Linked DNA regions of Lonchura striata. The protein of the gene in region 2 purifies or fractionates together with the protein of the main gene of each other region. This does not show direct contact. Links are inferred from orthologs where the notes say so. Each region holds a gene or a part of one and is shown on either strand. Other genes may lie near its edges. The genes, in order: IER5, PPP2R2D, PPME1 and CDCA4.

Evidence for each region.
Region 1: the proteins of PPP2R2D (region 2) and IER5 purify together in Homo sapiens (affinity purification with mass spectrometry; 3 studies listed by BioGRID and IntAct, counting the BioPlex papers as one, with this or other methods). This does not show direct contact. The link is inferred for Lonchura striata from reciprocal best matches to the Homo sapiens genes PPP2R2D and IER5.
Region 3: the proteins of PPP2R2D (region 2) and PPME1 purify together in Homo sapiens (affinity purification with mass spectrometry; 4 studies listed by BioGRID and IntAct, counting the BioPlex papers as one, with this or other methods). This does not show direct contact. The link is inferred for Lonchura striata from reciprocal best matches to the Homo sapiens genes PPP2R2D and PPME1.
Region 4: the proteins of PPP2R2D (region 2) and CDCA4 purify together in Homo sapiens (affinity purification with mass spectrometry; 3 studies listed by BioGRID and IntAct, counting the BioPlex papers as one, with this or other methods). This does not show direct contact. The link is inferred for Lonchura striata from reciprocal best matches to the Homo sapiens genes PPP2R2D and CDCA4.

The regions. Positions count from the first base shown.
Region 1 is NC_134611.1:2,038,653-2,043,949, forward strand, and holds IER5 (immediate early response gene 5 protein), read right to left. Parts: upstream 1,400-5,297; 5' UTR 1,296-1,399; coding exon 591-1,295; 3' UTR 502-590; downstream 1-501. UniProt on the Homo sapiens protein: Plays a role as a transcription factor. Mediates positive transcriptional regulation of several chaperone genes during the heat shock response in a HSF1-dependent manner. Mediates negative transcriptional regulation of CDC25B expression.
Region 2 is NC_134609.1:31,970,196-31,977,874, reverse strand, and holds the start of PPP2R2D (serine/threonine-protein phosphatase 2A 55 kDa regulatory subunit B delta isoform), read right to left. Parts: upstream 3,003-7,679; 5' UTR 2,874-3,002; coding exon 2,867-2,873; intron 2,662-2,866; coding exon 2,563-2,661; intron 1-2,562. UniProt on the Homo sapiens protein: Substrate-recognition subunit of protein phosphatase 2A (PP2A) that plays a key role in cell cycle by controlling mitosis entry and exit. Involved in chromosome clustering during late mitosis by mediating dephosphorylation of MKI67.
Region 3 is NC_134604.1:19,316,007-19,323,991, forward strand, and holds the start of PPME1 (protein phosphatase methylesterase 1), read right to left. Parts: upstream 3,004-7,985; 5' UTR 2,930-3,003; coding exon 2,832-2,929; intron 1-2,831. Other genes in the region: C2CD3 (C2 domain-containing protein 3), read left to right, coding at 3,167-3,182, 3,317-3,574, 3,953-4,110, 4,676-4,872, 5,587-5,804, 6,380-6,512, 7,215-7,343. UniProt on the Homo sapiens protein: Demethylates proteins that have been reversibly carboxymethylated. Demethylates PPP2CB (in vitro) and PPP2CA. Binding to PPP2CA displaces the manganese ion and inactivates the enzyme.
Region 4 is NC_134608.1:8,337,724-8,344,881, reverse strand, and holds the start of CDCA4 (cell division cycle-associated protein 4), read right to left. Parts: upstream 3,006-7,158; 5' UTR 2,890-3,005; intron 2,546-2,889; exon of another isoform or gene 2,465-2,545; intron 1-2,464. UniProt on the Homo sapiens protein: May participate in the regulation of cell proliferation through the E2F/RB pathway. May be involved in molecular regulation of hematopoietic stem cells and progenitor cell lineage commitment and differentiation.

The DNA.
Region 1 (5,297 bases), on a different chromosome or scaffold from region 2:
GTGTTGTACACGTAGAAATTACATTTTATACAAAACATGATACATCACTGAAGGAGAACACTGTACAAAATTCCCTACGGGAGCCCCAAGCCTTTATACAACAAAGACCGGGAGTTACCAAGCCTAACAAACAGGCTCAAGGACTTTCCGTCAGAGCGTCTGTAAACTTCGTTCCTCTCAATAAACACTTTTAAAAAGCACCATGTAATAGTTCTGACCTAAACCTTTCCAAAATAGAGACTTTATTTAATAAACTTAATACTTTCCAAGCTTAAAATATCACCCGCCGGGGGCGCCCCCGGGGTCGGCGGCAGCCGAGGAGCCTCCCCCGGGCGCCGGGGAGGGCGGCGGCGGCTCTGCCGGGAAGGGGAATTCCGGGAGGGCAGGGCCGGGGGCGCTCCCAGGGCGGGTGCCGGCAGCCGGGACCCGGCGGGGAACGGGGAAGCGCTGCCGCCGCTGCCCCGCGGTCCCTCCCGTGCGGCGGCGCAGGGCGCCGGGTCTGGCCGGCGCCGGAGCCCCGCGGCGCTCGGTGGGTGTCACCTCCGGGCCCCGCGGCCCGCGGCGGGGAGCCAGTCTCTGCGGCCGGGCCATCAGAAGGCCACGATGGCCGTGCTCCAGGGGTTGAGGGTCCGCAGCACCGGCTCGTCGCAGCAGATCTGTCCCGGCTCGGCCGCCGCCTCGGCGGGCGCCGTGCCCGCCGCCGCTTCGCCGCCGTCCAGAGGCGGTCGCCGCCGGCCCTTGGGCTCCTTGCTGAGCAGTCCCGAGAAGCTGGAGCCGAAGATGCTGATGAGGCTGGCCACGTTGCCCGTCTCCATGTCCTCCTGCTCGCACGGCGGCGAGGGCGGCGGTGGCAGCGGCGGCGGCTCCTCCTCCTCGCGGCGGGGCTTCTTCACCGGGGAGCCCGCCTGGCCGCGCTCGCCGGCGCTCCGCTTGCGGGGGCAGTGCGGCGGCGGGGGGGCCCCGGCGCAGCCCCCGCGGTTCTCGCCGCAGCAACAGCGCCGCGGCCGGGGGCCCTGGCAGTCCCTGCCCGCCTCGTCCTGCGGGGGCGGCGGCGGCTCCTCGGCCGCCCAGGCGGCGGTGCGGGGCGGCGGCTCCTCCTCGGGGTGGCCGGCGGGCGCGGGGGGCGGCTCGGGCGGGCAGCCCGGCTCGCTCAGGTAGACCTGTCGGGCGCTGCGCAGCACCAGCGACACCAGGAGGTTCTTGTGCAGCTTCAGGCCGCCGCGCTGGCCCCGCGCGCTGTAGATCTTGCCTAGAGAGATGCTGACGATGCGATGCGCCTCCAGCTTGAACTCCATGGGGAAAGCAGGTGGGCGAAGGGGGGGGTGATTTAAAAAAAAACAGTTAAAACCCCGAGCCGAGCGGCGACCCGTGCCTCACCCCAGCTCCGCACGCCGCCCCTTCGCGCCGCAGACTGAGCGAGCCCACGCGCCCGCCCGCCTTTTATACCGCCCCCGCCTCGGCCAATCAGGGAGCGCCGCCGGCCGCTCCAACCGCCGGCTGGCCCCCGCGCGCGCGCTCCGGCCAATGGCGGCGCAGGGCAGCGCGTTCGAAAGCTCGCCCCGCGGAGAGGGCTCTTAAAGCGGCAACGCCAGCGCGCCGCGCGGGTGGGGCCCACCGCGGAACCCCACGCGGGCGGCGCGGGGAATTTCGGCCAAAGCGATGGAAACGTTTCCCTGGGGAGGGAAAAACAACAGACAACAAACCGAACAAAACAAATCCAACCCAGCGCAGCCTCCGTTTTGTCAGGTTGGGGACGTTTCCCGCAATTTCAGCCCCTTGTCTGGGATCTTACTGCGCTAGAGAAGGAGCTGGTGGTGGTGATGGCTGGAGGGTGAAATGTGTCTGTGAGGATTTCAGGGAAAATCTGCCCTGATGTGGAACAAAGCCGTGCTTGCCCAGCTGCCAGGCAGAATTCTGCTCCAGGGGCCTGGCAGTGAAGCTCCCAGAAAGCCCAGGGCAGAGAGAAGATCCACAACAGGGCTGGGAAAGGCTGTAGGGGAGGGCAAATAGAGCATCTCCAAGTGTGATGGGGACCACGGCAAACTGGAGCATCTTGTTTGGGAGCTGGAATCTTACTGTGAAAGCTGGTGGCAGGATCATCCAGGTGGCTGAGGGACAGAGGAGACAACACATGCAGCCCCCAGACACAGCTGCAGGCACCAGGGAGGCATCCAAGAAAGCTTGGAGGGTGTTTCAGAGCTTGGTGTGCAGACCTTCCTCCTTCCACCAAGGACTAACCACCACTTGCAAACAGAAAAGAAGTGAAAGGGCCTAAAATTAAGGAAGTTCAACATGCTGCCCCAGAGTATCAGTTTCCATTCCCAGATGACATATAACAACTTGCTTCCATCCCTTTTTTCCCCAGGGGATGAATCCACAAACTCCCCCAAGGGAAAGCCACAGGCTATCATGATGTTTTGTTGGCACAACCTGTCGCCATGTCCTGGCCTTCTAGAAGGAAAAAAGGGTGGCGGGTCACAGAGGTAACAAAAAAAAAAAAAAGTGAAGATGAGGCCACACCAATGCATAGTTGACATAGCAAGAGCCTTCTTCAAAAAAAAAAAACCGTGCTCAGGACAAATGTATGTTTTCCTCCTGGTCAAACACAGATGGTAAACCTCAAAATGTCACTCTCTGGGTGTCAGACACAATAGCATCTCAGCCTGGATGTTGACATCTCAAAATGCCCAGCCCTTCTCCACCAAACCTGCCGTGCTCCATCTGAAGTGACCCGAGCGGGGCACTCTCAGCCACACGGCCAAAACAGCCAAGCCTGGCTTCCCCCACAGACAAAAAGTCCCACAGACACAAGGTCCCAGCTTAGCCCACAGCAGGGAGAGCCTGTCCTGGCCGCAGGGAGCGGGGCTGTCCCCTCCACACCCGGCGTGGGAGGCCGGAGGGACGCGAGCTCCAGCGGTGGGAACCGAGGCTTTCCCGACCTGCCAAACCTGCTCCCCGCCCCTCGCAGGGCCAGCAACACCCTGTCCTGAGCCCTCGGGTCAGCCTAACCAGCCAGGGCAGCTCTGGGCTTGCATGCCTGCGAGTGCAGTCACGGCTCTTCACCCGCCACCAGTGTCCCCTTGGTGGCACAGGGCTGGCTGTGTGCCTGGGAGATGCAAGGCCAGCTCTGGGACTACTGTTTGCCAGATCTGGGCACTTGCATCTTCAGCAAAGGGTCAGAAAGTCAGATTTGATGCATCTCTCAGCTAGGCATATCCCAACTCGGGGACTAAAAGCAGCAGTGCAAAGTCATCACACCAGCTGGGAAAAGCCCAAGGCGGGTGGAGGAGGCAGAGCGTGGGAGCTCTGCGGGGTGAAGATGCCTGGATCGGAGCAGACTGACCTGTTCTGCTGCTCACCACCTCACCCCCATGGCATGAGGCACCACTTCTCTGCAGGCACTGCCTTTTGGCCGCTACCCTGCCTGGGAGCAGGCGGGCCAGCAGCCCCTCCCGGCTCTGGCCAGGGATTAGCAGGATGGGGATGGGGACTGAGTGATCCCTCGTCCCTCTCAGTGCTCAGACAGAGCACCAGCAGGGAGGGGCAGAGGTGCAGGAGAGCTGGCACCCAGCACCACGAGTTTCACCCACCAACACCACGTCTGGTGTCAGGCACAACCATCAGCACGGTATTCCTAGGGCACCAAAGCTCTGCCTCGACATCTGCCTGCTCTCCGTGCCCTTTGCAGAGGTGGGATGATGGTTTTTCCTTTTCCACAACAACATCTCATCTCAGAATCACGGTCCAGGACATTTGCCAAAGCAAAGGTGCACACACACACTATATCAATACGTATATCATTATCTAAAGTGGGTTGCTTCACAGACACATTCTTATCCCTGGGAACGACCCAAAGACTAGGCTGGCTTTTTGCGTGTCAAAGCGATCTTTTCCATTTGTTTTCCAGCAGGAACTACCATGAATGGCAATTATCCTCGGGAGTGGGGGGGATCCACGGGCGAGGACGAGCAGCCGGTTGAAGGCAGGCATATTTTGGTGGCAGCTCTGCCGCTCCCTCCCCGGCTGATGTCATGCTTTAGTAACTTTGAGGCCGAGTCACATGGCGGCTTCTGAGGTCAGCGCCTGGGGTGGCTTTGTCTGCCTTCCTTGTGGCTGCCCCGAGGCTCCTGCCCGCGCCCGGGGCTGCCCTCCGAGCACGGCGATCCGCTGCTAGCCGCGGCTCGGCATCGCCGCGCTTCCCACAGCTGGGCACAGCTGGATGCACCCCCCGGTCCATCCCTCCGCCCGCCCCGCGGAAGGGACATCGCCCCCAGCCCTGCGGGTCAGGGGGGGATCCAGGAGAAGGAGGCGGAGGGAAAGGGTGTGACCGGCCGCTCTAATCTCCGCATGTGATCCGGCGGGGTTGGAAGGGGTTTGACGAACAATTAACAATCCTCCGGCTCAGCTGCTGTTTCCCGAAATAGCTCTGGCACGGGAGCAGGAGGAGGAGGAGGAAGGGGGAGGAAGGGCCGGGCTGGCTGGCAGACAAAGGTGGCCTCTCCGCCAGCAGAGCTGCGGCCGGCGCGGTGGCGAGGAGGCAGCCCCGGTGGGCCACCTGGAAAGGAAAACAATGCGACATAAAAGCGGCTCGAGGGAGGGAGGAAGCAGCTTGTGGTACGACTAATAATTGCAGAGGGCTGCGCGCACGCCCCCGGCTTTTTTGGAAGCGTTTCAATTCCGAGCAGAGGAGGTCGGCGCCGGGATGCTCGCTGGGGATTCGTGCGGTCGCATCTTGGCCGGGAGCGGCGGGGGATGCTGGGGGAGCCCCAGCTCCGGCAGCATCGCGGCTCTGCCGGTCCCCGAGCCTGGCTGAGCTCCGTCCCGGCCCTTCCCATCCCGGCCCGGCCCGGCCATCTGGCTCCCAGCACGGCCCCCCGCGGAATGAGGATGTGGTTAGCGAGATCCTGTTCCGACAGCGGCGCCTGACCCCTTCCTCAGCCCCCCGCCAGCTCCTCGCTGTCACCAAATGTGCGGCCCAGGCCCCAGGGGGAAGCCGGATGCAGGAAAGAGGTGGAAAACCCTCCAGCTGGGATGGACAGTGAAATTAGGGTGTCCTCGAAGCACACGCTGAAGTCATCCACCAGCGGCTGTCCCAGTGCTGCTGCCGTGCATCGATGCCTCTCTCTTCTATTCGCACCAGGATTCATGAATTAGACCCATCCTGAGAGGAGGATGTGAACAAATCCATCAAAAGCCCCTCACCACCAGCGGTGCTGAGGCAAAAGCCTTGGCACCAACAGCTGCCTGGAGCAAAAACAGAACTTCAGGACAGCCAAAACCCCAGGGAGATCCAGGCA
Region 2 (7,679 bases):
TAACACTAACAACAGAATTACAACACAATCTTTAATTAGCTTTGTTTTCAAATTGTGATTGTTGCCATCCCTAATATTAAGTCTTTCACCCAATCTCTATTTTATAATCTGTTTTATCCTTCAGTCCTCTCCCCCGAATCCAACTAAACTATTCCGTTCTAGAAAAGTCCTACCCAACCCTTTACAAAATCCATAGTCAAGAAGTGATGGATTCTCCTGGTCTTTCAGAAACGGTCAGACTGAACAGTGCCCTTCTCTTTCCTGACACAGAGCCTGGACAGAGGTCAGGGATTAGTCACCGAGGAAAGGCAAGGCACGGACAAGACAAAGAGGAGACAGTGATTTTCTGTATTAATGACCCACTTAGGAAAATCCAGCTGCCAATCTGATACAGTTGTCCCAGTGTTTGTGATGAAGCCAGACACCTGAGAAACAACTATGGAATATAAAATGTGCAATAGAACTGCACTGTAAAAGAACGGATTTTCTGGTAAAGTCGCCTGGCTGAGCAGTTTCAACTCCTGAATAAACCCCTAAGAAAATCTGGCAAAACACTCTGCATGGAATAGGCTGGACAGCAACTTCATGGTGTCCTCCTCCTCTAGAGAGCTAATTTTTCACAAAACAGACCAAAAATTGACAGCAGTAGCAAGTTTGCACTGTCACAAAAATTTATGTGTAATTTGAAGGCTATTTCAAGGCAACAGTTGTCCATCAAGCAGGTTTAGATGTGCAGTTTGGTAAGAGAGGATTTAAAAGATGGCAGTGAGTAAATATGTCCCTAACTGAGGCCCAAAACCTAGCCATGTATTTGTACTCTTACTAGGAAATTAAATTTGGGCAGTTATTAGAAAATAAGTAGCATATTTTTTATATTCAATTTCAAGGCAAAATGTAAGAGGAGGGGAAAGGCCACAAATCAAAACAAAAAACCAAGAAGTCACAAAGCCTGTAAATAGTTCTGGTATTCCCACGGGAAAACAAAACTTTAGTGTTAGTTTTGCAAAACCAGGTGCTGAACGATTCCTGGAGCTCTCCTGCTCTGTGTAAATCCAGGCTGCTCAGGAGTTATCTGGGAAGCAAAGTGCCCCCAGGAGCCAAAAGTCCCCAGAACTATATCCTTTACTCATGGAGAACTGGCTTTTAGTCACACAGGTGACAGACCTGAGAAAAAAGAACCACTTAAAAAACATACAAGCTACTTCTGTACATTTCTACAACATTTCTGGGAACTTCAGAGCAAGCTACAAAACATACAGAGGGAAGAAAAAGGAAGAAAACAACTGAGTGAGTGTAGTTTCTCGAGCAGTTTCCAGTCTATCCCTCCAATGGCCATTATTTTAAATGGAATGCCAAACAAGTGGCATGAAAATGAAAACACTGTCAGCGTAATTTCCCGTAGCAGGCAGCAAGGAAAAATATTTACTGCATCCAGTAATAAAAATAAAATCCCAAACCCAAGCTGAGCACACAGGCCCTGCAAGTTAATTCACACTTTCGAAAGAAGCACTGCCAACCTGGACAGTTAGAACACATGAAATTTAGGGGCAGAAAAAGAACTTTCTCATCAGAGTCAAGCAAAACTCCACCCAGACTCTGCACACTACAGCAAACACTTTTCCCAGTTAAAACATTTCTTATTTTCTACTCTGTCCAAAACATGAAGCGCCTGGAAAGTTTCAGAGAAATGTGAAGGTGTGCCCTTTTTCCCTGCTTAATATCCCTATTTATAGCTCCCTAACGTTAACAAGTGGGAATCAAATCTCTCCACAGCTGCAGGAACCCTTTAAACTGCACTTTTCAATGCAGCACAAATGACAGAGCTGCACTCTCTGTGCGTCAGAGCGAAACTTGACAAGCCTGACAGACTCCACTGGTGTTTCTTTTTTTCCTCTCCCTGTATCGTATCACTGTTGTTACCTTTTATCCTGAGCCCAGAACTGTAGACAGTTATCCTAAGCCCAGAAGTGTGCCCAGTTCTGGGCTCCTCAGGACCAGAAAGCCAAGGAGCCACTGGAGAGAGAGGCCACAGAGTCCTTCTGGGACTGGAGCATCTCTGAGCTGAGGAGAGGCTCTGGCAGCTGGGCTGCTCAGGCTGCAGCAGGGAAGGCTGAGGGGGGACCCCGCCGAGCCCTGCAAATCTCCCCGAGGGCTGGCAGGGCCGGTGCCAGGGCCAGGACAAGGAGCACGGGCAGAGCTGAGGCACAGCGAGTTCAGCCCAGCGAGAGGAAGAAAAGAACTCGTGTGCATGGAGGGGCAGGGCCCTGGAGCAGCTGCCCGGGAGGGGCCGGGGTCTCCCTCTGCAGAGCCGTTCCGAGCCCTGCGGGACCCGTTCCGGTGTGCCCGGCTCCCGGTGAGCCCGGGCCGGGGGATCCCAGAGGCGCCGCAGGCCCAGCTACCCAGGGATTCAGGGATTGCACCGGAGACCCGGAGGAAGGCGCCGTGGCTGCTCCGTGATGCTCCAGGGGTGGGAGCTCGCTTAGTCATGGCACAGCCCGGCACGGCCGGGGATGCTGCGGCGCTGCCCGCGGCCGCCCGAGCGCGCAGCCGGGCTCCCCTCACCTTCCGCCACGTCCTCGTCGATCGCCCCCTTCACCTGCAAGAAGCACCACTGCACCTCGCTGCTGCTGCCGCCGCCGTCGCCTCCAGCTCTCGCCACTACTGCGGAGGAGAAAGGGCGGTGAGCGAGCGGGGAGGGAGGGAGAGGAGCGCCCCGCGCCCGGCCCGGCCCGGCCCGCCGCGCTCCCGCATCCCCGCCGCTGCCGCCCGGCGCGGCCCGGCCTGCGCCCGGCCCCGCGGCCCCGCGGCGCCCAGCCCCGGCCCGTCCCGGCCCGTCCCGGCGCGGAGCTGGGGCGCGGACACAGACCTGCCATGGCGGGGGGAGCCGCGGGAGCGGGGCCGGGAGCGGGGCCGGGAGCGGGACGGAGCCGCCCGGAGCCGCGGGAGGGTTCGCGGTTTCAAAATGGCGCCCATTGCCGGGCGGCCCGGCCGTGACGTCACCGCCGGCTCCCCTCGGGGAGGGCGGGCCGGGCGGCGAGCGGGGCGGCACGGCGTGCAATGGCACGGCACGGCACGGCACGGCACGGCACGGCGTGCAATGGCACGGCATGGTACCGGCACGGCACGGTACCGGTACGGCACGGCATGGTACCGGTACGGCATGGCATGGTACGGCATGGCATGGTACAGCACGGCACGGCGTGCAATGGCACGCCACGGCATGGCACGGTACCGGTACGGCACGGCATGGCACGGCACGGCACGGCACGGCGTGCAATGGCACGCCACGGCACGGCACGGCATGGCACGGCATGGCACGGTACCGGTACGGCATGGCACGTACCGGTACGGCATGGCATGGTACGGCATGGTACGGCACGGCACGGCATGGCACCGGTACGGCACGGCACGGCATGGTACGGCATGGTACAGCATGGTACGGTGCGGTACGGCATGATACCGGCACGGCATGGCACGGCATGGTACCGGCACGGCACGGCACGGTACCGGTACGGCACGGCACGGCATGGTACGGTGCAGTACGGCATGGTACCGCACGGCACGGTACGTCATGGTACCGGCATGGCACGGTACCGGCACGGCACGGCACGGCACGGTACCGGTACGACACGGCATGGCATGGTACAGGCACGGTATGCCATGGCACAGCACGGCACGGCACGGTATGGCACGGTACCGGCACGGCACGGTCCCGGCCCCGGCTCCGCGGGACGCGCAGGGCACCGGAGGATAAGCATGAGGAGGAGGAGGAGGAGGAGGAAGGAGCGCGGCTCGGAGCCGTGCCGGCGCTCCCAGGCAGCACGGGGGGCTCAGCATGAGGAGGAGGAGGAGGAGGAGGAAGGAGCGCGGCTCGGAGCCGTGCCGGCGCTCCCCAGCCGCTCCACACGCGGCTTTCCGTGAAGGGACGGGAGCGTCACAGCAGAGACCTCGCTGTGCGTCCCGGTTTGGTTCTGCTCGCTCCCCCAAGGGTTAATTGTGATGAGGGGAAAACCAAACTAACCAAAAGAGCAAAAACCCAAACGTGCCTCTGACTCCTTTGCGCCAGAGCCGGGTGAGGGGAGGGAGGGAGCAGGGCCTCAGGGACAGGTTTATCACAGAATTCCAGAGTCGCTGGGGCTGGAAAAGCCCTCAGGATCACCGAGTCCACCCTGTGCCCATCCCCACCCTGTCCCCAGCCCAGAGCTCCGAGTGCCACCTCCGGGTGACACCTCCAGGGACGGGCACTGCCACCCTCCTGGGCAGCGCCTGCCGAGGCCTCAGCAGCCCTCAGAGACAGCCTTTCCTAAGCCCGGCTCTGTGTCTCAGTCACAGCCTTTCCTAAACCCGGCTCTGTGTCTCAGTCACAGCCTTTCCTCAGCCCGGCTCTCAGTCACAGCCTTTCCTAAACCCGGCTCTGTGTCTCAGTCACAGCCTTTCCTAAACCCGGCTCTGGTGTCTCAGTCACAGCCTTTCCTCAGCCCGGCTCTCAGTCACAGCCTTTCCTAAACCCGGCTCTCAGTGACAGCCTTTCCTAAACCCAGCTCTGTGTCTCAGGCACAGCCTTTCCTCAGCCCGGCTGTCAGTCACAGCCTTTCCTAAACCCGGCTCTGTGTCTCAGGCACAGCCTTTCCTAAGCCCAGCTCTGCTCTCATGTCTCAGTCACAGCCTTTCCTAAGCCCAGTTCTCAGTCACAGCCTTTCCTCAGCCCGGCTCTCAGTCACAGCCTTTCCTAAACCCGGCTCTCAGTGACAGCCTTTCCTAAACCCAGCTCTGTGTCTCAGTCACAGCCTTTCCTAAACCCGGCTCTGTGTCTCAGGCACAGCCTTTCCTAAGCCCAGCTCTGCTCTCATGTCTCAGTCACAGCCTTTCCTAAGCCCAGTTCTCAGTCACAGCCTTTCCTCAGCCCGGCTGTCAGTCACAGCCTTTCCTAAACCCGGCTCTGTGTCTCAGGCACAGCCTTTCCTAAGCCCAGCTCTGCTCTCATGTCTCAGTCACAGCCTTTCCTAAGCCCAGCTCTCAGTCACAGCCTTTCCTAAGCCCGGCTCTGCTCTCATGTCTCAGTCACAGCCTTTCCTAAGCCCGGCTCTGCTCTCATGTCTCAGTCACAGCCTTTCCTATGCCCAGTTCTCAGTCACAGCCTTTCCTCAGCCCGGCTCTCAGGGACAGCCTTTCCTAAGCCCAGCTCTGCTCTCATGCCTCAGGGACAGCCTTTCCTCAGCCCAGCTCTCAGTCACAGCTTTTCTTCATCCGGCTCGTGTCCCCCCACACCGTTCCTCGCCCCGGGCAGGAGGGCCCGGCCCGGCTCCGGAGCTGCCCGTGGTGATTTGGGATCCAGCCCCAAGCCCCGGCCCTGGGGCTGTGCTGGCCGGGTTTGGCCGCGGGCAGGGCTGGGAGGAGGGAACGCGGCCGGGATCCCTCCGGATCTGCGCTCCTGGAGCTCCAGGGCTGCAGGTGTCCGACCACGGCTGCGGAGCTGCCCCTTCCCTGCATCTCCTGCCTCACAAACTCAATATTCCTGCTGCCCCGTTGAGTTCGGGCCTCTCCTGACTGCTCCTTTTCCAAGCACGGATACTGGAATTTGTGGAGATGCAATTTCTGCCCCTAAATCCAAAAGAGCAGAAAGAAATGAAAATGAATTCTGTGTTTGCCCCAAACCCCGTCTATTAATACATTCCTGGTCTCGCAGTCCTTTGGAAAATGGTACAATTTAAAGAACTTTAAAGCCCAGCTGCTCCTAGGGAAGGGCTAAGTGCTTGGAAAGGCGACAGGTCTGCACTGTTGTGTCTCAGTCTGAGGTGGTTTCCTAAGTCCTGTTGGTTGTAGGAAATGCAAGGAAATTGGTTGATGAACAGACTTGGTTAATTGTGATCTTGAGCCCAGGTGAGTGAAGAACATCCCCTTACAGAGTAAGAGTCTTGTTAGGAACAAGTAATTCTCTCTGCTGGAAGTCTTTATCTTACTGAATGGAATTTTACCTGGAGGTTCTTGAGGATTTTCCTGTGGAAGGGCTAAAGTCTAGCACTTGCCTGAGTTCAGGATGGTTCCTCTCAGAGACATTACTCCTCTGGGCTTGCAGCCTTTTCTTGGTAATTTAGATACAGAAATGCGTTTGACTCAGGTTTTCCTTATTTAATTTCTTGCTATGACATCTGTACCCATTTATAGACTCATTACTTGATTTGTGTTTATTCCTTATGTAGTGTGTTGTGTATCAAGTGTTTAAATAAAATATTTTTTTACTTAGTCTCTTGGCTGTAGGAAAGTCATCCTGAAGGGCAAAGAATGCCTTTAAACCCTGCTCTTTGGCAGAGTCCTTCTCCCATGCCCTGGCACTCCAGGCCCTTGTAAATCATCTCTCTCCAGTTTCTTGCTGGCTCCTCCAGCCCCGTGAGGCCACCCCGAGGTCACCCCACCCTTCTCCCCTGCAGGTTCCAGTGCAGCTCTGCCAGCAGAGCTGCTCCATCCTCTGATCATTGGGTGCCTCCTCTGGATCCTCTGCAGCAGCTCCAGGTCCCTCTGAGCCAGCTCTGCAGGTGGGGCTCACCTGGGCACGGGGCACAATTCCCCTTTCCTGCTGCCCAGGCTGGGGACAGGGGGTTGGGAAAGCTTTCCCTGCTCAGCCCGGGGGGTGTGGGCAGAGGTGTTGCACAGGCCGGGCACGGGGCTGGGTGTGTGCTCTTGCAGAATTCCAGAACTCGGGCACAGGGTGACAGAGCGGCTGTTCCCAGTCGCTGGGTCCCTGCCGTGTACTGGGGTGCACGCACAAGGAGCTGACGTTCTGCCTGGCCACGCCGAGCAAGGAAAGCTCCCGAGAACAAAGTTTCCACGTGTGCTCTGGAAATAGGATCCTGCGGGGCCAGCTGCCCTCCGTGCCCCGTGTGCTGCTGCCCCGTCCCTCATTTTCCACCCTCTGCAGAGGGCCAACAGCCCTGAGCCTGCCAGGGCGCTCTCACTGCCTCTGCTCTGAAAAGAGACGGTGCTGCAAGGGTAATTCCCAAAAACACGGGGCAATCCATGGAAAGAGCGTTTATCCTGAAGGGAAGTACAGCTGGTGGGCACAGGGAGTCACATTTTGTTAACAGATAGAAACCACACGCACCTCACGTGCTAATTGACAGCACAACACCTGATTATTCTTAGGTGAGAAGCGCAACAGATCTTTTTCCCATGGAATTTTTGTCAGTGTTCCAAACTTCGGAGCAAGCCTGTGGTTTGGCAGCTGGTGGGTTTCCTTATGAGCCCTGTGTTCAGTAATTTTGCTGTGTTTTTTACACCTATGGTGTATGAAGAGTCCTTGTTCACCTCTGGTGGTTCCTGCCCAGGTCCCTGCTCCCGCAGCTGAGCACAGACCCCTCTGTCCCTGAAATCCTGGTCTTGTATGAGGTATGCATGGCATGCTGACTTTTCCTGCTCCAAAGCAGACTTTTCCTTCCATCCAAGCCCCTCAGGAAAGCCCCTTTGTCACCTCCAGGCAAATGTCCTAAGCCTCGTGGTCCGGCTTTTCCCTCCCTGCTGTCCCCGTGCCATCACCTTCCTGGCTGTCGCCAGCCTGTCCCGTGCACAGCTCCCGTGGCTCAGTGTCCCTCTGCCCTGGCACCAGCCCAGCCCTGGCCCTGGAGAGGGGAGCTCTTCCAGGAAGGAGCAGCACAGCGTTTTCCTGGCACCGTGTGTGTCCTGGG
Region 3 (7,985 bases), on a different chromosome or scaffold from region 2:
CTAGCCAAAAACAAAAGGCAAAAAACAAGACAGGAAATGCAGAAGCTGCTACAGCTGTTGGGATCTGCTGCCGTGGGGCCTCTTGCTCCACCAGTGACTTTACAAATTCTATTATTTTATTTCCCCACAGAACACAGAATCAGGCCATAAGCCTGGTTTTGTTTTATTTTGTGATTTTGATTTTGATTTTCATCAGTTGAGCAATTGGAAAGAATCACTTGCAACACGCAGGCAATTCCCAACACAGCCTTGGTGCTCCTTAAAGAAATGGACATGGAATTCCTCCCAGTGGCTGAGTTTCACCAACTGCTTGAGCTGAAGAGAAGCTCCAGCTTCCTTTGGGAAGGGCCTTTGCAACCATCATTTCTGCTGGAGAGCACTTAAATCCAGGGAGAAGAGGATTGTGCTAGCAAAGCAGGAATCAATGCCACGTGCTGTGAAATAGAATGAAATTCTAGCACACATCCCATGCTCCCGCAAAACCCACTCCAGACTACATTGCAGGAGCCATGTTTGGTATCAGGGAGAATTCCTTCCTGAAAAGGGCTGTCCAACCCTAGCACAGCTGCACAGATCCCCATCCCTGCAGGGACAGAAAGCTGTGTGGATAGGGCACTTGGGGATGTTGGGATAGTGGTGGCCTCGGCAGTGCTGGGGGAATGGCTGGACTCCAAGATCTTAGAGGGCTTTTCCAACCTGAGCAATTCCATGATTCTATTTGCTTCGGACAGTTTGACTTCTCAAATGAGACTCTCCCACAGAGAGACATAAGGAAGTGATTGTACTGAAAAATGAGCAAGAAAATAATAATTTTAAAAGAAAAAGTTAGAAATAAGTTTATTTTCACATACTTAAAGGTGCCATTTTTTATGAACTACTGAAACACACATTAACCTTTTAACAGCATATTGCCAAAAAATGTAAGACTTTATTTTGGTTAAGAAGTTCTCAGTAAATTCTATTTTTCTGCAGCAATCTCACATGCTTGGCCCTCTGCTTCTCAAGATCTGCTTTCAGCTACACCACAGTCACATTAAGATGACCTGCATGGTGGAAAAAAAGGGAATTAAAAGAAAGTGCCCAGCACACCAGTCAGAGGATTTAGCCACAGAAAAATCAAGTTGCTGGCATTCTTGGATATTAAGGTTAAACGCATTTTTTTAAAAGCCTGGCTTGCAATTCAAGAAATTGAAAGTGCAGGAATAAATTACATTTATAAATGTGAGATGCTTAATAAAGCAAATAAATATTTTCCTAAGTTTAGTTCTTTTTGTTCCCTGTAACCTTTGAATTTTGATGAACTATTTCAGTGCAGCCCTGTATATCTGCCAGCACTGTAAATCACACTATTTTCCCTGTACAACTAATTCCGTTCTCTTTTAGTGGAATTCTCTTCAGGGGGAATCTTGCACCTGTTTATACTGAACTGAACTTTGATAAGGATAAGCTCAGCTTAAGTTAAACTTTCTATCCCACTTCCTCTTGTGTCCTTTTCACAGAAGCCCCAAGCCCCTCTGGATGAGGTAATTCCATGTTGGATGTGCAGCACCTCCCACAACAGGAACATGACCTGTAAAGGGATTTACTGGGTGGTAGAGCAGTAAATCTAACCACAACATGATTATGAACTACTCCCCACTGCTTCCAAGGGAAGAATTCCAGGGGAATTCTTGATCCTTAACCGCAACACTGGATTTTGTTTCATTCATAATAATTTCCCAGAGAGAGTTTAAAACCCCTCCAATTCATGGTAAGAGAGGAAGAATTATATAAATTAACACTTGTTACAGCCTTAGACACTGGTCAAACTTCTCCCACAGCTCCTAAAATGTACTCTCAAACCCTGCTTAAAAGATTAAAGAGTATTCCAGACTTTTCCATCATCTCAAAATGCAGATTTAAGCAGGGATTAACGTCACTTGGCAGAGCACACCTACTTCACATAGGTGCCCGGAGCTGAGAAATTCTGTTTCACAGAATCATGGAATATTCTGACTCGGAAAGGGACCCACCACAAGCATTATCAAAGTCCAACTCCAGCTTAGGAATTCAGCTCCTGAGAATTTCCACACACCTCTCCCCGCAGTCACACTCTGAGGTACCACCCAGACATGGTGCTTGACCCTTCCTCCAAACACTGATGGCAAAAGGACTAGGAGAAAAGGGCTGGAGAGTTGATCCCAGCCCCTGCCACCTTCCCCCAGCCTAAGGATACTTTGGGCACTGATACCTTTGCAGCTGGAGAAGCCTGATCCAGGTGTCACTCTCCTGGAGCACTGGGAAGCAGGACCAACCCTCCCTCCAGACCCCTAAGAATGACCCCCCCTCGCTCCAGATCCCCCAGTAGTGACCATTCCCCGTCCCGATTCCCCAGGACGAGCTCTTCTCTGTGTATGTCTCGTGATAATGGCCATTCCCTGTGCCGATCCCCCAGGACGAGCTCCCCACTGGCCGGATCTCCTGGTAATCGACATTCCTTTGCCGATCTTCCAGGATGAGCTTCCCCCTGTCCAGACCCCCCGATAATTCCCTGTGCCCAATTCCTCAGGACGAACTCCCCTCCTCCCAGATCTCCAGATAATGGCCATTCCCTGTCCCGATCGCCCAGGACGAGCTCCCCTCTTCCCAAATCCTCCGATAGTGATTCCCCTCCGTCCAGACCCCGGAATAACGTACCTCCCTTCCTTGTAGATCCCCCCAGCAAAGACCACCCGTCCCTCCAGACCCCCAACACGAGCCCCACCTCCCTGCAGAGCCTCCGCTCCGCGGTAACCTCTCCCCCCAGACTCCCCCCCGATCTCGGCATCCGCCCCTGCCCTTCCTCCGCCTACCCCATGCGCATCTTCGACCCGGAATGGCCGCCGCCTCCGGGCAACGGGGGCCGAGGTGGGAGGCGGCCCAGATGCAGCTGCTTCTCCAGGGCAGACATGACAGCTAGGGACGCACCGGGAACACCGGGACCCCCGCGCCGCCCCCTCCGCCCCGCCTCGCCTCGCCGGAAGCGGCTCCCCCAACAGCGCCGCCACGCGGCACTAAGCGCACCCGCCCGCGTGGCACCGCGGGAAACGTAGTCCGCGCCCCCGCTCTGCCCGGCGGGGCGCGGGGCAGGACGGGAGCTGTAGTCCCCCGCCGCGGCGGCCGTTGCCGGGCGGGAGGCGCGGGCGGGATGCGGCGGAGGGGAGGTGCGGAGAGGGACAGAGCGGCGGAGCGGGGCTTGGGGGGATACAGCGGGGAGAGAAGCGTGCAGCTGTGGGACGGGAAGCGGCACGGAGGCTCGGGACGATGTACGGACCGCTGATGTCGCCTGTCCCCGCAGGTGCCGGCGAGCCCGCCGCCGCCATCAGCCTGCCGCCGCTGGTGCAGGGCCCGGCGCGCTGCTTCCTGCGCTGCAGCGTGCCCCGCGTGTTCTGGGCGGCCCCGCAGCCGCCCGCCGTGGTGCGCCTACGGTGGTGGGGGGAGACGTCCGGCGGCACCGTACTGCAGCCCGCCTGCCGGGCCGGGCAGCCCGCGGGGAGAACCAGCGCCCGCTTCACCGTGCGCTGCGGACCCCGGCAGCTCGCCGCCTACCTGGCAGGTAGGGACGCTACGCTTCGGGACCGCGTTAGGTTGGGGTAGGACGAGAGGACGCAGCGTTAAGGTGTGCCGGGGCAGGTTGGGGTCGGCCGTCGAGAGAAGTTTCTTCACGGGCAGGGTGGGTAGGCTGCCCAGGGGGTTACCCTCGAACAGCGGTAAGCATTTCCCTGTGTCCTGTTCCTTTCCTGGTAATCCTGTACTCGTTCATCATCATTTAGTACCAGTAATAATGTCTGTATTGACGCTTCTTCACCTGCTGCCCTGTTATCGTAATTTCCTTGTAGGACATAATGTTAATCTCTGGCGTTGCTGTCATTTTAGCCAAAAAGTGTCAGTTGTGACCATGAGACTGACTTGAAGATGTTCCTGATTTTTGCAGATATGGGCGTTCTGGTCCTGGAGGTTCTAACCAAACTTGACCACCTTCTCCTTGGCAGAGCACAGATCACTAAGCTGTCCCAGCTCTCTCCCAGCCATCCCATCAAAGGGTCTTTTCCTGTGGTGTCACCAACATCGGGTAAACTCGGAGAGCTGCAGGTAGTCTTGATGTCTTTGCTCATTATCATAAATTATGTGCTGTGACACTGGTATAATCAGGTGCAGGGTCAAGCTGTATATGGCACACTGCAGCTTTGCTCTCTGTCAAGGGCATTTCTGAGCTTAGGTAACAAATAAAAAAAAACAAATACTGCTGATATTGACTTTATTTTGTTCCAAGGGATGTGGGGTAGTTGAGCTTAGTGAGGAGCATGTGGTCATCTCTGTCACCAAGAGTGAGTGTTAACAGTGGATTTTAAATGGATATTTGGTTCTTACACTTCACTGGGCTGATAATAGAAGATTTGACATCTGGAATTAAGAAAATTCTGTCTTGCAGCCCTGGCTCTGGAAAATTGATTATGAAAGGCAGTTGACTGGGTCTGAAAACATGGAACAAGAAAGAAGTAGTTGTAAATATGTGACATAGCTGCGTAATGTAAATATTACTTTATGTAGAAAAGCAGCAGTTTTCCATTGCACAACAAGTGAAGTTTAATGCAGTGTTTACTGCACTTAAGTTAGGAAGAGAACAAAGTAATATTTTCACATTCTTGTCTTCCAGGTCTCACTGATTCTAGAACCTCTGCCAGAGCTGTATGATACTAGCAGCTGTGTGCTGACCACACAAGGAGGTTCAGTTGCTGCTGCTGCCCAGGGAAGCAGCAAGTCCCAGCTTCCTGCTCCATCCCAGCAGCCCAGGCACACACAGGTGACTGTTGAACAGGACTGGGTTGACAACAGCAAAGCCACATCTCCTAGGTATCCGTTTGTTTTTTTTGTTTTTCTCATGACAAAACTGTGGTTTATTTTGCAGTTCACACAGGATTTTTAGGTATGGCAGTACACTTGTGAGTTATGGGATGCTTGATGTTTTCAAACATACATCTTATATTAAATCCAGGATGTGGAGATTTCCAAGGTGACAGGGACAATTTCTTGTCTGATAAGAAATTTGCTTCTTAGGTTGACTTAGTTCAAGTCATGCAAGTTCACAAAAGAGGTGCCTCAAATCATCAAATCACAAAATAATTTGGGTGGAAGGGATCTTAAGGCTCATCTCATTTCAGCCCTGCTGCCAGAACACTTTCCACTATCCCAGGCTGCTCCAAGCCCCATCCAGCCTGGCCTTGGACATGGATGAAGCAGGCACGGCCTCTCTCGGTAACCTGTGCCAGAGTCTCACCGTGCTCCAGCAAATCACTTTCTCCTGATATCTAATCTAAACTTACCCTCTGGCAGTGAGAATCTGTTCCCCCTTGTCCTGTCACAAGATGCTCTTGTAAAAAAGATCTTTTTTTTAAAAAAAATCTTCTACTTGCAGCTTGGGTTGGTCTCTCTGATGGTCTCAGTGGCAGGTGAGGAATCATTAAAATAACATGTCATGTTTCCTGTTGGAGCATGTCCTGAAGGGAGAATTTGCAGAGCTCTGAATCCCTTTACCCACCTTCCTGAGTTGTCACTGTTTTTCCCTAGAGGAAGGGACGGTTTGCTCTACCAAAAGAATTCTGAAAACATGAAGAACACCTTTTCTGCTTCTTGTCACGGTGTGATTTTACCAGATGAACACTTGAAAATGAATCCTGCGAGTCAGCCCCTGTCGTTTCCCAGCAGCACTGATCCTGAAGCGCTTCCCAGGAGGAGCACACGGGTGCTCTCCATGCACAACGCCGCTACAAAAGACCTGCTGTCAGGTTTGTGTGCAGCTGGCTTCACATTTTAGATTTCACTGCAAACAGCTCTTGATGCTCTTTTGTCTGCCTGTATGGAGATGAGGTTTTCTGAAGGGAAAGACAGACTTCACACCCTCTTGCTGCATTATACCAAAAAGGCCTTGTCTTAAAACTTGCTGTTGCCTGGGCTGGACTGAAATAAGCTTTGGAGTAGGGCATGTTTCCATATGTGCTGTCTTTTGAGTTCCATATTCGCAGAAAAGAACAAAAATTAGACATCTTGAAGTGGCAAACTTCTCTTCCCTAAATTAGTACTGCTTCTGTATCCTAATAATGCCTTTCCAATACCTGACCCTGTGTGTGCAGAGAAATTCCCTGTGCAGTGGAGTGGGAGACTGATGGAGGATCATTCTCCCTCGCTCCCAGCTGAGCTGTTTTCTGGTGTATAAAACATATTTAATCCCCAGTGAGTCAAGATCTTTTTTTAACAGCAGAAAACAAGTTTCTTGACCGTAGCTGACACATTGATTATGTCTACACATTGCTCTTAAAATACATTTGAATGCTGAAATGTAATCCTTCTGCTTGTTTCCCAGCTCTCTTGGATCAAGGCAGTAAACTCCGTGATGCCATGGTTGTTTCTGCAATGAAGTCCAGCCTAGACATGGAGATTGAACTGAATAAAATATCTGATTTTATAGAGAGAGATGATTTTAAAGCACCAACAAAGTGAGTTTGGATTGAGGGAAGTGAGATGCAAGCTCCAAACCATAAATTTTGAGGCTTTATCCAGAAAACTGTAGATACTGAGATTCATAGGATGTGTTTTAGGATTCATTTGAGGTGAAAAAAGCACATCATTCAAATAGGAAGTTAATTTCTACCTGTGAATAAATGCGCGAATTTTGTGAATTTATTTTAATCTTCATGTAGTAAGCTTTGATTTAAGTATTTGATTTTAATTTAATTTTTTAGTATATTTGTATTTAGTTCTAAGTTATTTGTCAAGGAAATATTACATGTTGGTAGGGAATAAGAGTAAGACTTGAAAGACAGTGCAAGTGAAATGGCACTGCATCACAAGGAGCAGTTTTTCAGAGAAGTGTAAGTAATTCATAACCTAAATGCATTTTTTTTTTCCTTAGGGGAAAAGAAACTTAGATTTCTTGATTTTCTTCTGGAAAAATGTGAATATTACCTGTTGTTCTGTGATAACCAGAAAGCGATGTCATTGTCTTTGGTAGTCAGTGATGCTATTGCAAACTCAATTTAATTTCTTTCTGCACAAGCTATTTGCATTTGTGTTAAAGTGGATTATTTTGGACTTCACAGAAGACACTGATAGACCGATTAATGGATTAATCTTGAGTATGCCTTAATGTCTTTATTTGTCCTTTTTCTGCTGTCTCTGCTTCCATTGCTGTTACCCAGGAGCCCAACAGGCTTGAAGTCCAGTTTTGTGCACACTCCTGAAGATTTCCATCACTTTGGATCTGAAGTTTCAGGTCAGCAACTCGACCTAAACTCTGAAGAAGGAGCAATCCAGTTACTTTTGGGCAGGTGAGTGTGATGCACTGGAGGCTTCTGCAAAATTGTCCTAATCTGACCATTTTGAAAAATGTCTCCTGACCCTTCAAGTTGTCCACATTTTTGGGAATGTAACCAGTCACTCCTGTGCAATTGATGCAGGTGCTTTATAGCTCAGCTTTAATGCATGATGTCCTGGATAGCTCCAAGCCACTTGGTGTGAAAGTGACAGAAAGATTGTCAGAAGGATTAACCACAATCTTTCATAAAACTAAGTTACTTAATAGTTGTAAGTGTTGTGGCTTAAAATATTACATAAAGTAAGCACATAAAACAAGTGCCATGTTTCCTGGAAGAGGACATACTCTGTAAATTAAAACTACAGCTATTTAAAATCTTTCTCCAGATATTAAATGCACCTTTTCCTCTAATTTTGTGTAGCGGGAGCATAAATGATGCTTCCATTGTGTCCACATCTGCACCCTGAACACACAGCTTCTGGGTCAGATATGGTTCAGAATTTATGGTTCATGTTCTTGTGCCCTGCACTTACCTTTTCACTGTGGTTTATCAGTGGATAACACTGTAGTGTTTCAGATCATAAAATTATTTTAAACTCACAGCACAGAGGAAACCCTTAAACCAAACTACCCCCAGCTTGTATTTAAAGATACT
Region 4 (7,158 bases), on a different chromosome or scaffold from region 2:
TTAACAATAAAGGCTGAGTTTTTAAAACCCATTTAAAGCATAATAAGATTTGATATCTCAAATACAACTTCACATCACATGCAACAATTCCCTTAACTACTGCAACAAAAAAGAGTGCTGTTCCAACAGGCTAGAAAAACTTTTATAATAAACAATGGAAACAATTCAGATACTTTTCTAGACATGTCTGTGCAGTACAAGACAGTTCTGTGTCTGCAACTGAAGTGCATACCTGGAAAAGAAACAAATAAAGAGGATGCACATGGAGATCTGTTCTGATTTTCTGTTTTGTGTAGTAATAAACAATTTTTCAAAATTGCTTCTCTCAAATGGAGGGGGAAGAAAATGGATGACAAAGGACTTGAGGGTGAGAGTGCAGAAAACATGTCTTTACTCAAGAAGCTGCATACTTGTTAAAATGCCACAATGGGAAAAAAAAAAACCACCTTTAACATTCTCAAGCCAAGAACTTTTGATCGCAGATATTCAAACTAAATGATGTTATGTCATGGAAACTGTATTTCAAACAATTCAAAGTCTCTTTTTTTTTATAGACTGAGCTCACAGCAACTTTAGAAACAGTGTCTTAAGGCATCTGAACTACAACTTCAGTCAGACACCATATCAAGTCAATAAACTATTTCTTATTTCTGGCAAACACTTTATGACACAATAAAAGTTCAGAAGTTTTTGCTCCCCAGGTACACTTTGAACATATTCTACAAATGAAAAGTGATCTCTTTGAGAGCCTGTGTCTGGTAACTATTTGAATCCCAAAATTTCTACTTTATTGGAGGGTAGGTGACAAGGGCATAAAAAAATCCAACATCAAACACCTCCCCCACCTCCCTTCCAAGAACTACAGGTAAAGATGGTGCAGTCATGAGAAAAACAAACTGAAATATTTTCTGATGCTATTTGGTATATCTGACAATTTCAGAGGGAGAGGCTGTGGCTGTTTGCCTCCCAAAATAGGGGACAATACAGGAGGGGACTATTGCTGTTGGTAAAAGAGCCATTATCACATCCACAAACTAAATGACAGGGGATGCTGGCAGAGCAGTTCAGTCTGTAATCTATTTATGTACTACAGAAGGAGAGTTTTCCCATGCAATATAATAATGTTTAAAACCTGCTGCATGTGATTCCATGTTCTTCCCTGGTCTATAACCAAACCACATGGACTTCTGTTAGTATAAATTTGAAGAATAGGTCCATCACAGCAGTCATTTCTCTGGGCTCTATAAACTGGCATAAATGTGTACCTCAACAACCAAGTTCTCAGTAAAAGCATATTAACTTCATAGCTATTACCAGATGCAATTAAAACTTTGCAAACAAATGACCTCCCACAAACTTCCCTACATTATCTCCAATAAGCACTCATCTCAAGAGAATTCTAAATTTGAAACTTAATTAAAATCTAAGTATCTTTTCCTATTGATTTATCTATTAACATACTCAGAAAGGCATTAGCCATTGTGTAAAACCTTTTGGTACATCAGAGGAAGACTGCTGCTGCTTCAGAGTTCAAAGTGTTCAAAATCCCCTGATAATTTGAAGCAGCACCTTTCTCTGTCCAAGAAGCAGCATCCAGACGAGCTGCATCATCTCCTTTCTTCTGCTTCCCCAGTATCATGAGCCCAAACTTTGTGTATTCAACTAAGCTGCTGTTTGAAACAGCTACGCAGAAAAACTGTTGTCAAGGAGATCACAGCTAGCTGCAGCATAGTGCACTAAGGGAAAAGGAGTTTTGTGGGTTTTGTTGTTTCACTTTTTAAAAAATAAATAATAGCATAGAATTATGTAATTCATTACAAGTTTTGCTTTTAGGATCAACAAATTCCCAGTCTGCTTTATAAAAAAGGTGCTTGAAATTTGATTCAGTTCTTATTAGAGCATCAACTTAAGACATTCCATTTTCACACGCAATTCGGACTCATATAGTGATATGCTGCCAAAGAGATAGCTAAGTACTTTAGGGAAAAAAAGCTGCTTCCCACTAACTGGGTTAACAAAGACAGGGAATTTCAGCAGTGCTTATCTTTAGGGGAAAGCAGACAAGAAGTACCCAGGCCATGCTGGAGGCTCAGTGAAGCACAGTGCTGCTTTTTGTACAGCCGTAAGTACAGTGATGATGGTTAGCACGGGAAGGCAAGAAGGAACCGTATCGCCCCTCTACCACTCTAATCCTCTCCACTCCAACACTGGCTTTTCTAAGAACCGTGGGAAGAAACCAAAGCTCTGTGTAACAGTGGAGAAAAAGACGGAAAGGGAGCTGCTACTCCTCTTTAGCCATGCACGTGTGCCCGTATGGTGTGTCGAGGTATAAGGTGGGATGCAGACACAGCAGAGGGACGGAGAGGCCAGAAGCATCGCTATTCAGACTGGAACAAAGGCCCCTGTAAAGCACTGGGGTCTGCCCACCCCCGGGGCGTAGGGGGCTGGCAGGCACCTCTCTGGCACTCGAGAGACTGGGGAAGGGGTTCCAGCACCCGGGGAAGAGCAGGCTGAGCAGATGGGGCAGGAGCCCGTGGAAACGCAGGTGGGGGCCGGGGGCGCTAAGCAGGGGGAGCCCGCAGAGCCGGGGGGAGAGGCGGGACCGGGGCGGGGAGCGAGGGGGAGCTCCCCGCCAGTGGGAGGGCAGCGGAGCGCCCGGGAGAGGCGCGGACGATGAGGGAGCGGGGCTGCGGCAGCGACCGAGCGGAGAAGTGCGGAACGGGCCGCCCGTCCCGCCCGCGCCGGCCCCCTCAGCGCTGCCGGCGGTTACTCACCGCCCCGCGCTCTCGCCGCCATTTTGATTCGATCCCGTCCCTTCAGCGGGTTCCGCCGGCACCAGCTTCCCGCGGATCCGACCCAGCCCAGCCCGACCCAGCCCACCGTACTCACCGCCTTGCCAGTGCTGTCGCCGGCGCACACCCGAGCAGGAACTCCCGCTCGGCTCCCGCCTCACCGGCGGCTCCGCGCCCGAGGGACGGGCGGGGCCAGCCGGCCCCGCCTCCCCCCGCCCGCCATCTTATTGTCAAAGCCCACAAAGGGTCCCGCGGCCGCCGGGGGCGGGCCTTCCCCGGAGACCGCGCCCACCAGGGAGCGGCGGCGCCCGCTATTGGCTGCCGCCAGGCGTTGCAGGCGGCACTCGCCGCTGCGATTGGCTACAGCGCCCGTCCGTCCCGCCCCCGAGCTCCGCCCCCTAAGGCGGTGAGGTTGCCATGGCAGCCGGGCCCTTCCCCTCGGCCGTGAGAGGCTGAGGGCGGCGGGGGCGGGGGCGAGGCGGGGCCGCCCCGATTTCAAATCGTAGCCAAGGCCCCGCGGTGCGTCTGGGCTCCCGGCCACGGGCTCCGGCGGGAACAGGTTCAGACCTGGCCGCGCTGCAGCCCGCGGGGAGCCCTGGCGGGGGAGGGGAGAGGGAGCGTTGGCAGCCCCGGGCCGGGCGCTCCCCGCCGTCCCACTTCCCTCACGGCCCGGGAGCCCCGGAGCTGCGCCCCGCGGGGGTGACAGGAGGCCTCAGCACTCCATTAGCAAGGCCTGTGGCATTTCCTGTTCGGGCCCAGCCCCGGGTCTCGCAGTCGGAGCCAGGAACCCGCGTGCTGGGGCGGGGGTGATGTCTCACCCCGCAGGCAGCCGCTGTCTGAACATGAGTCAGTAGCGAGTGCCCGGGCGGGCGAGAACGCCAGTGGCATTCTGGCCTCTAAAGGAATAGTGTGGCCAGCAGGACCAGGGAAGTGCTGGGCACACCTGGAGTACTGTGCCCTGTTCTGGGCCCCTCAATTGGGGAGGACTATTAAGGTGGCTGGAGTGTGTCCAGAGAAGAGACCAGAGCTGGTGAAGGGTCTAGAGCACAAGTTTTAAGAGAAACAGCTGAGGCAGCTTATGGATGTTTAGCCTGGAGAAGGGGAGGCTCAGGGGAGACCTTATCACTCCAATTTTCTGACAGGAGGGTGCAGCCAGGTGGAGGTTGGGCTCTGCTCCCAGGGAACGAGTGACAGGGCTACGGAGAACATAGCCTTAGGCTGTGCTGTTGGGAGTTTAGCTGAACATAACAAAGAATTTCCTCACAGAAAAGGTGATTAGGCACTGTAATGGGCTGCCCAGGGAGGCGGTGTAGTCACCGTCCCTGGAGGTGCTGAAGGAAGACTGGACATGGCACTCAGTGCCATGTTATGCAGTGCTATGTTGGACTCGATCTCAGAAGTCTTTTCCAACCTAACTGGTTCTGTCCTAAAGCTGCTGCCACCCTGCTCAGCAAAACCCCCTCAACCAAACCTTGCCGCTGTGACCCCAGCCCGATGCAGCTGCACATCTGCAAGCACTTAGGCTGCCCCAGCGTGTCTCGGTGGCTCTCCCGGCCCAGCAGCTACGTGCCGGCTGCTCCGGAGCAGCCCGGGGGAAGGAGGGGCGGCTGGCCCGGGCTGCCGGAGCGCCGCAGAGGCGGCAGCTGCTGCCTCCCGGCCCTGGGGCGGGGAGGGGAAGGAGCTGGAGAAAGGGTGGGATAAGCAGCTGGAGCTGGAGGATGGGCGAGGCTTGCGGCTGAGGTTCTTGTAAGACAGGCTGGGAAACAGCAGAGCTGTAGTGTCATACAGTAAAGCAGGAGGAAATAACATACTACAGATACCCATGGTAAAAAAAGAGTAAATGCGACCCCCTTTAGTCTTGACCAATGAATAATTTCAGAGCTGCAATTTGCGTCCAGGTCACCAAGTTCTCTTTTTTTGCCGTCCAATTGGTTGGTGTTGTTGTTCTGACGCCAATCCAAAATTTGGGACATGTTGGGGGAAAACAGGCTCAACTGATCGATGGTGCAAGGGCCTCTGGGTAGGTGAGAGGGGATGCCTGCAAGAGCTGTATCTCCACAAATAAATACAGTTCCACTAGGTAGGGTGTGAGGTTTGGAGGTAAGGGTAAATGGTTCCATTCTGTGGCTGATTTTTTTACACCAATTTTTTTGCTATGTATTGACTTTTGATTTGTTTTATTTCTGTGCACCTGATTCTTGGGACATAGGTTCAATCAGAAAATGAACGCAATAAGGGGCTTTTGCTGGCTGAGCCAAGCAATTCAAATTCATGGGGTTCCTCCTTGGCTTGTGGTAATCTTTTGAGGAACTGTTCCCAGGGAACTAAGGGATTGTACATAGGGAGGAAAGAAGAAACTAAAGGAGGAAATTAATTTGACTTGAATGGGATCCCCACAAGGCAGGTGGACATTGGGTTGGCAGTGGAGTCAGTGGACAGACAGATGTTATCCTGCCCAAGGGTCTGTGCCAGAGTTTTCCAAACATTGGCTTGTGGCTGGGAACAATCCACAGGTGGCCATGGCACACGATGTAGAGCAGAGTGGTCAGTAATATCAGCATCCTTGCGGGGCTTGGGGTCATCAAGCCTGGACTGATCTGGTGTTAATTACACCCAGAATGATGTTGACCTCTTGTGTTTGGTGTCCCCAATGATGACATACTTACATCCAATCTTGCTCCAGGTACCTGAATCATCCAGGGACACTTGGATGAAGTGAAAATGTGAGTCCTGTAGATGTAGTAGTTCCACCAGCTGAAGCCTAAAAGGTACAAAGTAAGAGGTGGTCGTTAGAATAGGTATATTGTGAGAGAGGTCATATTTACTATTAGTCAAGTCAGGTGATTTTGAATTGCAGGTTAACAACTGTCCCTCAGTGGGTTTCTGCTTTAGTTCCGTCCCCAGTGTTACTTCTGGGCCCACCCTGTTTATGTCTTAGCGCAGGGAGGAACTGCATCCAATTCCCCAGTTCTCCACATAGATGGCAGGGTCTGCTCGCTGTAGGAGGTCTTTGGGAAGGTCTCAGCGTGTGGGGCGGTTGCTTTGTCGGTGGTTTGAAGGCTGGGGTGGTATCGTCTGCTGCAATCCAATGAGGATGTCTTTGCCCCTTGTCTTGTTCCTCTGCTTCAATGATAACGTTCTTTTCACACACTTCTAGCATGTCATGCAGGGCTGGCTCCATTGGCAGGCTCAGGATGACGGCCTTGCATTGAACATTTGCATTCAGTACTGCCATCTCCTTCAGGATCCCCTGATGGACCTCTTCTTCTTTCACCTGGAGCTCCACCGCCCTGCAGAGTCTCTCAACAAAATCTATGAAAGGCTCTAGAGGAGACTGAACAATTTTTAAATAATTTTAGACAGGCCCTTTTGGTTTTAAATTAAAGAACACCAGTCAGCTTTGGCTGACTCCCGGAGCACCCCCTAGGGATTTCAAGTGCCTGTCTGGCACCTTCCTCCCACTCTGCCTCCCCACACAGATAACATATGTCCCTCAGTGTCAGTTGCTGTGGCAGGGTTATTCCACAATGTGGGAAGGACATTCTCGACCTCCTTCCTCCAGGCTGCCTCCCACAAAATAAATTCAGTGGGCGACAACAGGCAGGAGAAGAGTGACCAGAGATCAGCAGGAGTGAGATCAGAGGAGAAGGTCGCCCTGAGAAGTCCCTGAAAGCATTCATTTTCCCTTGAGAACTCTCTCTGGGCCTTACACAACTCTTTGGTGGTCTGATATGGAAGCAGGGTCCACTGGGCCTGCACATCCCCCTCTCACTGGGGTATAAAAGCCACTGGTGCAGCAGACAGAACTGGCCATAAATCATGGGAACTTCCATTTCTGGGCTCCTCCCCTCTGGAATGAAAACCAGGGAACCTTAAGAGGGACTGTGGGAACTGGAAGAAGGAGGAGGATGGGAGGGGCCAGGAGAGGGGGTGAGGACACATGATTGAAGATCCCCCCTCAGGGGTGTGACCAGGGGCAGAACTTAAGGGAGTTGTGGGTGGAGTTTGAATAAAGGACAAAACAGGAAGAGGAGGGGTTTATGGGTAGGAAGGGGTTGGAAGAGGAGATGAAGGGATTTTGGGAAGAACAAGTGGTGGGAAAAACCTTGTGGCTCCTGCCACCTTGTCTCTTCAGGGAGACATCTTGGGAAGGGACAGGATTGGGAAGGTCAAACCAAACACAGGGCTTGCGGGACGGGGCTGTACATCCTAGGGAAAGAAGGGACTGAGAAATATCCTGAGAAGTCTGGCTGGGACTCAGGCAAAGATACCGGGAATTCTGAGGGGAGCCGGGGAGTCGGTAGCAGCCCTGTGCCAAATGGCGGGTTGCTCCCTTCAGAATCCCAGTTGCAGGGGCAACAGGAGA